Linked DNA regions of Canis lupus familiaris. The protein of the gene in region 2 purifies or fractionates together with the protein of the main gene of each other region. This does not show direct contact. Links are inferred from orthologs where the notes say so. Each region holds a gene or a part of one and is shown on either strand. Other genes may lie near its edges.

Region 1 (3,940 bases), on a different chromosome or scaffold from region 2:
CCACGTTGCTTGGTAGCTACCTTAGGATCAGAAGTCGGGCCTGCCTCCCTGGACACAGCTGGGGGGCGGGGCGGGGGGCGGCTGGTGCTGGCCCATAGGCCCCACCTAAGCTCCTGGGAGTTCCCTCCTGCCCAGCCCTGAGCGGGGGCAGCCTATCCTCAGCCTTGGAAGGAAAGGTTCGGCCTTGAGGCCACGGTCCAGAAGAGAAAAGGCGGCCTTCGAGGTGGGTGGGGACAGGCCGATAGTCCCTTGGAGAGTGGAGGCGGGGTGCAGCTTTGTTTATATAGTGTTGCGTGCAGGGGAGGCCCTTCCCCCACCCTGGAAGAGCCCAGATCCAATCTCGGTTCGCCCCAAACGCCACCTCCGGAGGCAGGGCCTCTTACCTGCCCCTCTCTAGCTGGATGGCCCGTGAATCCCGCGCTGCTACGCGTAGCCTTTTACGATGGACCCTGAAGGATGTGTAGGAGATTCCCAGGGGCGAGGGACTGGGGAGGGCATTCCTGACTGACCACCAGTGGAGCAAAAGCGCGGTGGTGGGAGGTGTTCCGGCACACTTGCGAACAAAGCGCTGCCCCGTGGAACTGTATACCTTGGCAATCACTGGGCCGTAATGTAGGTGGGGAAACTGAGGCTGGGGGGCCGAGAAGTTGGATCTGTCAGAACTCTCCCGGCTCTCGGGGCAGGTCCTCCTCATTACCTGAATAAGCACGCCGCTCCTCCCTGGGGGAAGGAAAGGCCTCCTCCAAGTTCGGGAACACCCGTCAGCCCCCTCCAAAGCTTGTCCCCAGCCGCCCACGCAGGAAGCCTGGCTCGCGGACTACAATCCCGGCAGGACCCGCGCCGCGGCGCATGCTCGGCGGGAGCACCTTCGCGAGCCCGGCCGAGCCCGGGGGCCCAGTCTTCCCCCATTGTCTGGCCGACAGGGGCGGGGCGAGCGGCACCGGGGCACACCCATTGGTCGGGTTGTACGTCAGTCGCGCTCTGCGTCCGCCCCCGTGCAGGCCCCGCCCCGCGCGCCCGCGTCCGGGCCGCCTGGCGCCCCGCCCGCGCCTCAGGACCCGCGGGGCCGCGCGGCGCATCCTGCGGGCGGCGGCGGCGGCGGCGGCGGGCGCGGCGCCGGCAGCCGGACGCAAGATGATGAAGTTTCGGTTCCGGCGGCAGGGCGCTGACCCGCAGCGCGAGAAGCTCAAGCAGGAGCTCTTCGCCTTCAACAAGGTGCGGCGCGGCGGTTCGGGCAGAGGGAGGGGGCGGGCCGGGGGCCCGAGCCGGGGGCCCGAGCCGGGGGCGCGGGGGCCGGAGCCACGTCGGGCCCGGGGGGAGGGGGCGCCCGGCCGAGGCGCGGCGCGGGGGCCGGGTCGCGCGCCCGTCGGCGGGCCCCACTTCTCGCCTCCTCCTCGGCTCCACTCCCGGACCCTGGGTGGGTCTGGGTCCCCTGCTGACTTTCCGAGTCCGCTCCCCCGGGTCCCTGTGGGCCTCGCTGGCCCTGGCTCTGCGGGTCTCCGTGTCCCTGGGTCGGTGTCTCTCTCTGTCCCTGTGCGACTCTTTACATGTCCTGGGTCTCTGCCCCGCCTCGGTCTGTGATCACCTCCTGTCCTAGCCTATCCTATGCCTGTGTCTGGGGAGGGGGTGTCTGCCTCTGTCCCTGTGTGTCTCTGCGTATCCCTTCTCTTTCTTCGTCTCTCTGTCTCTTCATCTCTGAGTCTTTGCGTGTCTCTTCGCCTCCATGTGTCTCCGTAAGGTCTCTGGAACTCTCACTCTGGCTCTCGGTCTCCGTCTCTTTATCTCTCTTCCTTTGGGGGCCCTCGGAGCCCCCGCTCAGCCCTTGGGGCAGCCCAGGGCCCCAGTTTGTTTTGCTTTCGCACCCAGGCCAGTGGGGAGGGGTGAGGAACGGAGGCAGATGTTGGGGGGTGGGGCTGGGAAATCCTTTCCCTGTTTCTTTCGTCCCCTCCCCCAAGGCCCGGGGCTCTGCCTTGGGGGCTCTGCCCTGCCCTGTTTTGCTGGGGGCTCCAGAGAAGATGCCTGGCTGTGTAGATGAATACACTCCTGGGGCCTCAGTTTTCCTTGCTATAAAACGGGGCCACCTTTTTCCCTGCTCTGGCTCCCTGTATCACATGGGCCTGCTGACCTATCCTTTGGGCCAACGTGGAGAGATGGTTGCTCCTTCCTTTCTTTTCCTGGGTAGGGCAAGAGGGGCCACAGTACTGAGGCTACCTTCCACTCCCTCCTCCCCTCCACCTTTGCACCCATGCGTGGTTGATCCGGGCCCCAGCCTTTCCCTTGCTAACTTCTGGGGTGTTGCTTCCGGGCTCAGTTTTACTCCAGACCTCTGATTGCACAGCCCCTCACTGCTCTTGGGGATTAGAGTTACTATCCCCATCATATAGGTGAGAAAATGGAGATTCAGAGAGGGATGACGACTTGCCCAGAGTCAGAGAGTGAGTCGGGGCACTCTGTCCTCGTGGACCCTTGTCGATGAGGTTTGACTTTAGCTTTGAGGTGCAGGGGTTTTTGGAAGGGCTGCTGTAGTCCTGAGCCAGACTCCAGGAGACTCTTGTTTAAGAGAAAGCTCTAGGATGGCTGGATCTGAAGTGGTCAAGGTGGAAATGTCCTTTGGGGCAGGCAGGGTTTCCTGGTGATGGCGGCTGCTGGGGCCTTCGACATGGTGGCTGAGAACTTGCAGGGGCCTGGGAGGCCCAGAAGGGTGGCTGGTGCCCGGGGTCTCCCCGCTGGTCTCTTTCATATGCTGGGTGGCTGTGAGCAAGAGCCCCTGTGAGGTGAGAGGAGAAGGATGCTGGGGGTAGGTGTCACTTCATCAGCCAGTGAGTCGGGGTGTGAAGTGGAGATAGTGGAGATAGATGGTGGCGAGGCTGGGCTCCTCCTGACTGGCCTTGGGTCAGCAGAAGCCAAGGGTTCCCTGCTAAGGCCAGTGAGGCCCTATTCTGAGTAGGTGGCATTGGTGGGAAGGGTGAGGCTTGGGGTAGGGGCTTGCTCACACGAGGAGATAGGTGATCACTAGAGAACAAATAGATCCCAGATTCCCGAGTGGTGGGAAGGGTCAGAAGCAAGCATGGACCTTGGACTGTCTTGCATCCGAATCTCTGTCCTGCCCATAGCTTGCCTGTGGGATGTCTACTCTATGTCAGTTTAACAATCTTGAGCTCCTACTGTGTGAGGGGCCCCCTTCTAGGTATTGGGGACACCACAGTGACCAAGAGAGACAAATGCCTCTTCGGGGTGCTGATATACTCATGGGGGATATAGTAAAAAGCCACAGCAAAAGAGTAAAATGTGCAGCAGTTTGGATGATGACCAGTGCTGTGGTTACAGTAAAGTGGGGTGAGGGTAAGGAGTATGGGAACAGGGAGGCTGCTAGAGCAGGGTGGTTTAGGGAGGGCTTTGAGGAGTTGACTCCTGAGCTGAGAGCTGAGTAATGGAGAGGAGCCCTCTTTGGGCACTGCTGGGTGTCCAGGTAGATGGACAGTAGATGCAAAGGTCCTGAGGCAGGAGCCTGCCTAGTAAATTGGAGGAGAGCAGAAGGGCATTGGCCCAGCAGTCAAGCTAGGGGAGGGAGGGAGGAGGAGGGCAGACAGGGGCCAGGTGGTGAGGTAGGAGCCCCAAGAGGGTCCTGAGCAGAGGAAGGGACTGGCTAGACCTGGTCAGCTCTGGTATGAGCATGGGAAGCTCTCCCCCTGCACCCCCAGCCAAATGGGCTACTCTGTCCTCAGGTGGGCTCACTGCCCCTAGTGAGCACATGGGACACTGAGGTGTCGAGAATGTTTTGACTAGCCTGAATCCAACCAAGCAGGCTGCAGAGAGAGCTCAGTCCCTTCCTGGATTAGTTGAGGCAGGAGGGAGGCTGGGCCAACAGGCCTGCGGACCACAGTTTTCTTTTGAAATGTATGTCTTCCTGAGGCACTGGTCAGGAGACAGCTGGACCCAT
Region 2 (3,969 bases):
GGAGTACCAGGACTTCCCATCGATTACTTCCCAGGGTTTCAGGATACGCATCTTGGCATGGTACTCAAGGCCCTCCACAACCAGGCTGGAAGGGCCGCCAAGGAAGACCTATTCTGAGTGAGATGGTTATGCTGCAGTCTTTACTACCAGTTCAGGTTCCAAAGGGTCAGAACACCGCATTTCCCCCCGCCCCGTCAGGGAGTCGAGGGCAGGCCCTCCGGCTTGTTCTCTTGTAACACTCCCCTCCCCCAGTCCCAGCGTCTGCACATCACAGCACGTGGTAGGCGCCCTGCAAACATCTTCTGAAACGAACGTAAATCAGCGGGGACCGATCACCAGGTGACTGTGTGTCCTGCCCGGCTGCCTTACACCCTCAAGAGCTCCGGTGTTGGCTAATTTTAAAGCTATCGACACGTGATCCAAACGCAACCCCGTCGGCCTTAATTAGGATTCCGAGGCCACAAACCTACTGTGAAAGGTCATTAAGGCAACTGTGAGAATCCGAACATGGCCTTAGGAATTAGATGACGGATTTAATTTCATTAGATGTTGATTTGGCCTTAAAAAGTCATGTTAGGTATATACCTTATACTTATGAATAAGACGGTTTCTCTTAAAACACCCGAGATTAGGGGGGTATGGGCGGGAGGAGATAAATGAGACAAAACCGGTAAAACACAGCCAACAGCAGTTAGCTGTCCTCTTCGGTGCAACACACTGCTTTCGGTGAGTGTTTAAAAATTCCTTACTACAAGACACACACACGACAGACAGACACACACCCGGGTGCTGTTTTCATCTTAGGCCCGGAGGGAACCAGACGCAGAGGGTCCACCGGCGGCATCTCGGATTCGGAGCACGGCGGGGACCCGGCCCGGTTTTCTCGCCCGCCGGGCCGAAGCTGGCCGAGGGGGCGGCCTCCTCATCCCCTCCGCACCCTCCAGAAACTCCTTTCGCAGAGAGCCGAACTCTTGGAAAGCGCGCGTCACAGTTCTCTCAGCTTTCTACGCCGGACCTCGCCCCACCCGCAGGACCCTGAGGAGAAGCGAGCCCAGATCCGGTCGCTTCACCACCGCGACCCCCAACGGCCGCGGCCGAGGGCTCGGGGGCGGGCTCCGCGCAGCGACGTCACGGCGCGCCGTGCGTCGGGTCAAAGTTCAGCCCCGCCCCTCTTCCCCCTCGCTGTCTTCCTCGGCCTGCGCTGCCGCCGACGCCGCCGTGGGCCTGGCTGCGCTCCGTCCGCTCGGTCGCCTTCCTCCCTGAGCGCTGCCCGGCCGGCCGCCATGGCGAACGTGGCCGACACCAAGCTGTACGACATTCTCGGCGTCCCTCCCGGCGCCAGCGAGAACGAGCTGAAGAAGGTAGTGGGGAGCGGGACGGCCGGGCAGGGTGTGAGGGGCACGGGCCTGCTCGGCGGAGGCGGCCAGGCCGCGCTACGGGGCTGCCCACGAGCCGGCGCCGGCCGCGGCGGGCGCAGGCTGGGGGGCGGCGGCGGCGGCAGCGGGACCGGCCTCGGCTGACCTTGGGCCGCCGGCCCCGCCCGCCTGCAAATGCAGCAAATAAAACCCACCCCTGCGCAAACACGACGGGAACGCTTCCTTCCTCCCTCCCCCGGCGGGCGCCGGAGGCCGGGCGCTCCCGGGAGGCTGCAGCCTGCGCGGCCCTCCCCGCGCGGAGGTCATCACCCTGGAAAAACAGGTTGGACAGTGGCGCGCAGCGCATCCCCGGCCGCTGGAGAGACAAGTTGCCCACGCCGCGGTCGTGGGCTTCGGAGCCGAGCCCGGGCTGGGGTTAGGGCCTGGCGGGAGGGTCGCGGCCGCCTCCGCCGAGGCCTCCGGGCGGCTGGGGAATGTTTCGCGGGTGCCGCAGCAGCAGCTCCCTGTCCGCCGCCTCCTCCCACTGACCCGTGGCTCTCTGTTTGGGTGTATTGTTCTGTGGGCAGGTAACCTAGCTGTTCTGTACCCGCTTCAGGAATAAGCAAGCCGTGGGTCCCAGCCAAACACCTGAGTGTACACCGACTAAAAATAAACATAAGGTCTGATTATTGCTGTCTGCAATGCTGCGAATCTTTGATCTCGGGATTTCAAAGCTCCTGCGGCATCTGATTAAGCGCTACGCCGTCTTCACGGAGCTGAGAGCGTACAGATTCGTACGCTGAGAAAACGAGAATGCTCCTTAGGCACTGGGACGGGGTAGAGTTGAGAGTAAAATGGACTTCCTGTTACCTTACCGGAAATGCTAGTCTGTATTATATAATTGGTGTGTCTGTGAATGAAGAGTTAAGTGCTGCACGTCCTGGCCACCTCAATGTATGCAACTTCACGAGGACCGAGCCCCCTCCAATTAATCCACCGTATGGAAAAATAAAAGGAGCTTCTCTTGACTTTGTCCTAATGTTTCAATTACAGGGAAGGCAGGAGCCATCCTGACCAGAGGTTCTTACTTTGGCTTGATTTTGGAGTTTTAACAAACTTAAGGATCATTTCTTTAGCCTACATTGGACTCCTCTTTTTCGTCTGGTTACTAACCTTCAAAGGCATTTGACAATAGTGAAAATAGGGAATTTTCCAATATTTTGTTTTTCTCTGACATGGTTCTAGTATAGTTTCTGTCTGCTTTTCTGGATCAAGTTAGCGAGTAAACAGTATTGAGGTGGATAAATTAGTAAACAGTATCGAGCTATTTTTTTCAGCTTACGAATTCAGATTGTCAATCTCAGTGAATAAAAGATGTTTTTGGAAAGTTATGGTTTTAAAACATTGCCTCTCAGAAAAATGGGATATTTAGTACTCCTAAATCTTTAAATTAGATTTTGTATGTAACCTTTTTTGTTTGTTTTTTATTTTTTATTGAAGGCATACAGAAAGTTAGCCAAGGAATACCATCCTGATAAGAATCCAAATGCTGGTGACAAAGTAAGTTATTTGAGGACTCCCCCTCCCCCCCCCCATGAGGTTTCAGTTTTAAATTGCCCTCCCTGAAAAAAAGAGGAATGTTTGTAAAGAAAAGTCCCATCTGTTCCCATACAGCCAAATTTTTACATAAAGAGTATTTTGGTTTTGTAATGGGAATGCTAACATTCCAGGCAGTGGTGGGTGGGAGGTAGGACCAGAATCAAACCAAAGGTAATTTATAGCTTTTGTTAGAATAACTAAATTCCAGATTCCTGTAGCCTTTCCCCCACTCCTCTACTTGAAAACCCAATTGTTTTCCTTGTTACTTTTTTTTTTTTTTTTTATAGTTCAAAGAAATCAGTTTTGCATATGAAGTACTGTCAAATCCTGAGAAACGTGAATTATATGACAGATATGGAGAACAAGGTCTTCGGGAAGGTAGCGGTGGAGGTGGTGGCATGGATGATATTTTCTCTCACATTTTTGGTGGAGGATTGTTCGGCTTCATGGGCAATCAGAGTAGAAGTCGAAATGGCAGAAGAAGAGGAGAAGACATGATGCATCCACTTAAGTGAATATCTTTTTTTCTTTTTCTTTTTTTTTAATTAAGTACAATTTTTTCAAGTAGTAATGCTTAGTAATGAGAAAGGCATCAAAAATGTTCCATCCGTTGTCAGAAAAAAAAAATCTTCATTTCCTTACTGTTCTCATTGGATGACTAAATTGAATTTGATAACCTGGGTTATTTTGCTACAGATCTTAAAGGGTGGTTGATATTTCTACTGAGTAGGCAGCTGGTTTTGTTAATATTGATCTGAAGCCACTTGTTACTATATGATTTAAAATTTCAATTTTGAAGATTATTTTCTTTTAAGTATTTAAATTTTCCAAGTTACTTTTTATTCAAAAACTTACAAAGTAAGTGACTGACTAGTTTGTTTACATGTTACAGTCACTCATTACTTGATCCTCAGTGTGAACTCTCCTAAATTGGTTTCCATGGAGCTTGTTGGCTTCTAGCCTGACTTTAACCTGCCAACATATGAATGGTGTCTGACCTTGGTCTTAGACTGAA
Region 3 (4,246 bases), on a different chromosome or scaffold from region 2:
CCTTGGAATGAGGGTCAAGAGCAAAGGACCCTGTCCAGATGAGGCTGTGCTCCCCAGTGGGATACTGCCTAAGGAAAGGACGGACCCTTGGGGATTCCCCCTCCTGAGATTCTCCAGGGAGTGCCCTGAGAACCAGAGGGCCTGAGGCTTCCCAGTTGGGAAGCTGCCCCCAGGACTTTGGACACTTATAGGTTGGGCTGTACGAACTCAGCAGGTCTCACTCTCGAGTCAGAATGTGAGTCTGCTATTGTTCATTAGTTTTATTCCTTGAATCAATGCTGTTGATGACAAGTTGTCTTTAATAAATCATGTGTTCTTTGCAATGGGCATTGGTGCTGTGATGGGCTGAAACCTTTTGAGACCTTAGAGGAGGGAAAGTTTGAGTAGGGATGGAGTCAGGAGGCTCTGAGACTCGGCAAAGAAGGTCAGGAAATTCTTTTTGGAAGAGCCTGTTCAAGTCTTCTCATTCAACCACTGCAGTTTGCAGCTGGAGGCCAAAGGCCAGTGAGCTTGGGACAGAGGTGCTATGCACTTGATTACACAGCAAGTTGTTTTTGAGATTGACGAAACTGAGAATTCAAGTAAATAAAATGCATACTACCCACAATCTAAAGAAAATCACCAAGAACACGTTAGTTTTTGCTACATCGTTGTCATTTTCTTGATACAGTTTGTGTACTGTCTCTTCCCTCCCTTAGGTGGTAAGCAAGTTGCTGTATGATTTAAAATATATTTATGTGCTATATAGAATTCACACATGCTAAAAACGTCTGAGTCCAGCCCCTATCTTGGACTATTTTGGTTATTTCAGCCTTCATTATGAGTAATAATACTGTGGAGAAGGGTTTCTGTTCAAGATCCTTGCATTCCAGATTCATTTCCCCAGCTCAGTCCTCTAAGTGGATTGAGAAGTATGAACCTTTTTAAGACTTTTATATATACTGCCAAACTGCCTTCTAGAATCGTGCCAGTTTTTCTTCCAACCAGCAGTGAGCATCAGCCCCTACGCTGTCCTCTTGCCGCTTGTTAAAACATTTGCCAGTGTCCTAGAACTTTTGACTTAACTTTGTAATGTTAGGGGGGGTGGATTTTGGTGTCAGGCAGACCTGGGGTCTTGTCCTTGTTTCCTTGTTCTGCCAACTAGAGACTCCGTCTCAAGGCTCTTTTAAAGATTAAGTCTAGTACTGGAAATGGTAGTTCAGTACCTAACACTTGGCGCTCCTGAAGCTGGAGCTCCTACCACCCGCGGAGGGGCCTCCTGCTGCCCGAGGGGGCTGGGCGGAGGGCGGGGCTGGGCGGCGGCGGCCAATCACGAGCCGGGGAGGTGGCACGCCCTCCCCCCCCCCCTTCCGCGCGTCTTAAAAGGGCAAAGCAAGGGCGCCGGGACGTCAGCTCGGCGCCAGGCCTCACCCTCCGTTGGGCTCCCCAGTTCCCCGAAGCGCCTGTGAGTAGAAGCGGCGGGCATCCCCCGCTCTCACGCCCCTCCCCGACCCCCTCCCCGCGGTGGGCCCCGCAGTCCCGCGCAGCCCCTTTAAGAGCCTCGAAGGTCGCGGCGGCCCCCAGGCGTCGGCGACTGCGCTCCACCGGCGCTCGGGCCAGGCTCCCCGCCATGCGGGCGCTGCGGGCCGCCCTGACCCTGGCGCTGGGCGCGGGGCTGGGCGCGGCGGCCGAGGGCTGGCGGCGGCGGAGGGCGGACGCGCGGGCGGCGCCGGGGCTGCTGGGCCGGCTGCCCGTGCTGCCCGTGGCCGCGGCGGCCGAGCTGCCCGAGGTGCCCGCGAAGCCCGGGGCCCCGGCGGGCGCGAGCGAGCTGGCCAAGTACGGGCTGCCGGGGCTGGCGCAGCTCAAGAGCCGCGAGTCGTACGTGCTGTGCTACGATCCGCGCACCCGCGGCGCGCTCTGGGTGGTGGAGCAGCTGCGGCCGGAGCGGCTCCGCGGGGACGGCGACCGCCGCTCGTGCGACTTCCGCGAGGACGACTCGGTGCACGCGTACCACCGCGCCACCAACGCCGACTACCGCGGCAGCGGCTTTGACCGCGGCCACCTCGCCGCCGCCGCCAACCACCGCTGGAGCCAGAAGGCCATGGAGGACACCTTCTACCTGAGCAACGTCGCGCCGCAGGTAGCGCCCGCGCTCGCCCCCCTGAGCCTCTCCGAACCTCGGCTGCGAAGCTGCCGAGTGCGGGCGCCGGGTCAGGTGCCTGGCTGCTCACCCCGCGCGCCGGGCGGGAGGTACACTGCACGGGGCACCCAACACCCGCCTGCAGTCCGACCTCTACTGTGCGCCTCTGGGCACCTCCCTGAGCTTGTTTCCTCGCAGTAGCGCGGAGAAAGAAGACGATGTACACATAAAGTACCGAGCTCGCTTCCTGGCCGGACGCACTCAGCATGCATGCATGCTAGCTGTAAAGAAGGAACTGAGGCAGGGAGGCCAAGTGACTGGCCCATTGTCACACAGCAGGAGACCCAGGCAGTCGGTCTAGAGGACCTTGAGCTTTCAGCCATTGTCCATACTCTGCCTGCCTCCCAGGAGCCAAAGGAAAGTAACTTGCAAAGTCCGCTGGTAGCCATCACTGTGTGCCCTCCGCGGAGCAGGGCCTGGAGACTTGCCCCCTGGGCTCCGGGTGAAGCTAATGGGGTACGAGGCTCCTAGGACTTCTGCTCTCCAAGTGCTGCAGTTGCCTGCCCACTTGACCAGACACTGGAATGAATGCTCAAGAGCGGGAAGTCAGGAGCAGCCCCAGCTGGGCTCTGCATGTGCTTCAGATCTAGAAAGGAAAGGAGAGGGTAGGGCTAGAGAGCTGGCCTTCCCAAGAGCTCCTGGGCATGGGGGGAGGGGGGCTCAGGAGGAGAGGCTTGTTTCTCTCTCTGAAGAGGAGAACTGCCCCTTTTCCTCAGTGTGGCTCTTTGGGGGTGAGAAACGGTTTCTGGCTCCACCCTCATGGCCAGGTGGCCTAAAGGCGTCTCCCTCCTTGAACCTGTTACCTCAGCACACTTGCCCACCCCATGCTTGCCCACCCCTTTCCCCATTGGACTGTCCCCATTTGGTGCCAGTTCCTGCCCATGTGACAACAGGGGAAGGGCCCCAGCCAGTCTCCCTGAGCCCCACCTCTCCAACCAGGTGCCCCACCTCAACCAGAATGCTTGGAACAACCTGGAGAAGTACAGCCGCAGCTTGACCCGCACCTACCAAAATGTCTATGTATGCACAGGGCCGCTCTTCCTGCCCAGGTAAGGCTCGAACTGGGGGGCCCCGGGATGCCAGGGTCTCTCCCATACAGTAGAGGCCCTCCTGCCACTCACAGCATCCAGGCCTGCCTCAACCTCTGGGTCCTCATGCAGTGCCAGGTCATGTCATCTGGTTTCTTGGCATGTCTGTCTGTTCTGTGCTTCAGGCCCCCTAATTCCAGGACTGTAGCGAGACCTGTGGGGTACCCACCTGGATCGTCTCTCCTGCCCCCAGCACCAGGCCCCAAACATGTCTCTGCTCCTCTCTTTTCTCACTTCTTGCCACATACACCTGACTCTGTTTCTGTCCAGATAGAAAAGCCTAGCTAGCACCAGGCTCTTGCCTTGTCTGCTCTGCTTGGAGCAACCCTCCTCACCCTTCTCCTGGAGCCACGGTGTGACCTCCACCTCCTCAACCCTGAGCCTTCACTCTTGTCTCTCGGCAGCCCTGCCTCCCAGGTAGAAGGGACCGAGCTCCCCTGGGCATGCTCAGTGATTTTTCTGGCCCAATGAAGACTGAGATCAGGGAGGCAAAGGGTTGTGGGGAAGCCGCTGGCTCTGGAGTCCACAGGTCTGAGAGAGAACCTAGGCCCTACCACCTGGTCTCTGGATGCCATGGGCAAATGACCTCCATATTCTCTCCTGTAAAATGGGGATAACAGCTACTTACTACCTACCTCGTGGTTGCTTAGGGGTAAAGTGGGGTGCTGGAGGTCATTGTAGTGAGTGCTTAGGATGGGCCAGCCGAGGCACTGATAATCAGCAGGTGCCTCCTATGGACTGTTGGAATGGAGTAGACCCTGCTGAGGGGAAGACTGGAAGTCCCTCATCCTGTGTTCTGGACCCCAGGCCCTGTGATGGCACTGGGAATTCTGGGTCATGTGCCTTAGCCTCTTGAAGCTCCCTCACCACAGGGGAGGTGGCCAGTGATCATGCGTCTGTGCGAATGAAGGTGAATGCCCACAAGGCCTGAATCTCTCAGCAGCATTTATTGCCACCACCCACCCTTGCTTGGCCCAGT

What was found.
Region 1: the proteins of DNAJA2 (region 2) and LLGL1 purify together in Homo sapiens (co-immunoprecipitation; 3 studies listed by BioGRID and IntAct, with this or other methods). This does not show direct contact. The link is inferred for Canis lupus familiaris from reciprocal best matches to the Homo sapiens genes DNAJA2 and LLGL1.
Region 3: the proteins of DNAJA2 (region 2) and ENDOG purify together in Homo sapiens (affinity purification with mass spectrometry; 3 studies listed by BioGRID and IntAct, with this or other methods). This does not show direct contact. The link is inferred for Canis lupus familiaris from reciprocal best matches to the Homo sapiens genes DNAJA2 and ENDOG.

Annotation. Positions count from the first base shown.
Region 1 is NC_049226.1:41,543,637-41,547,576, reverse strand, and holds the start of LLGL1 (lethal(2) giant larvae protein homolog 1), read left to right. Parts: upstream 1-1,134; coding exon 1,135-1,215; intron 1,216-3,940. UniProt on the Homo sapiens protein: Cortical cytoskeleton protein found in a complex involved in maintaining cell polarity and epithelial integrity. Involved in the regulation of mitotic spindle orientation, proliferation, differentiation and tissue organization of neuroepithelial cells.
Region 2 is NC_049223.1:67,287,029-67,290,997, forward strand, and holds the start of DNAJA2 (dnaJ homolog subfamily A member 2), read left to right. Parts: upstream 1-1,166; 5' UTR 1,167-1,283; coding exon 1,284-1,361; intron 1,362-2,855; coding exon 2,856-2,915; intron 2,916-3,241; coding exon 3,242-3,465; intron 3,466-3,969. UniProt on the Homo sapiens protein: Co-chaperone of Hsc70. Stimulates ATP hydrolysis and the folding of unfolded proteins mediated by HSPA1A/B (in vitro).
Region 3 is NC_049230.1:54,897,841-54,902,086, reverse strand, and holds the start of ENDOG (endonuclease G, mitochondrial), read left to right. Parts: upstream 1-1,440; 5' UTR 1,441-1,609; coding exon 1,610-2,119; intron 2,120-3,118; coding exon 3,119-3,228; intron 3,229-4,195; exon of another isoform or gene 4,196-4,246. UniProt on the Homo sapiens protein: Endonuclease that preferentially catalyzes the cleavage of double-stranded 5-hydroxymethylcytosine (5hmC)-modified DNA.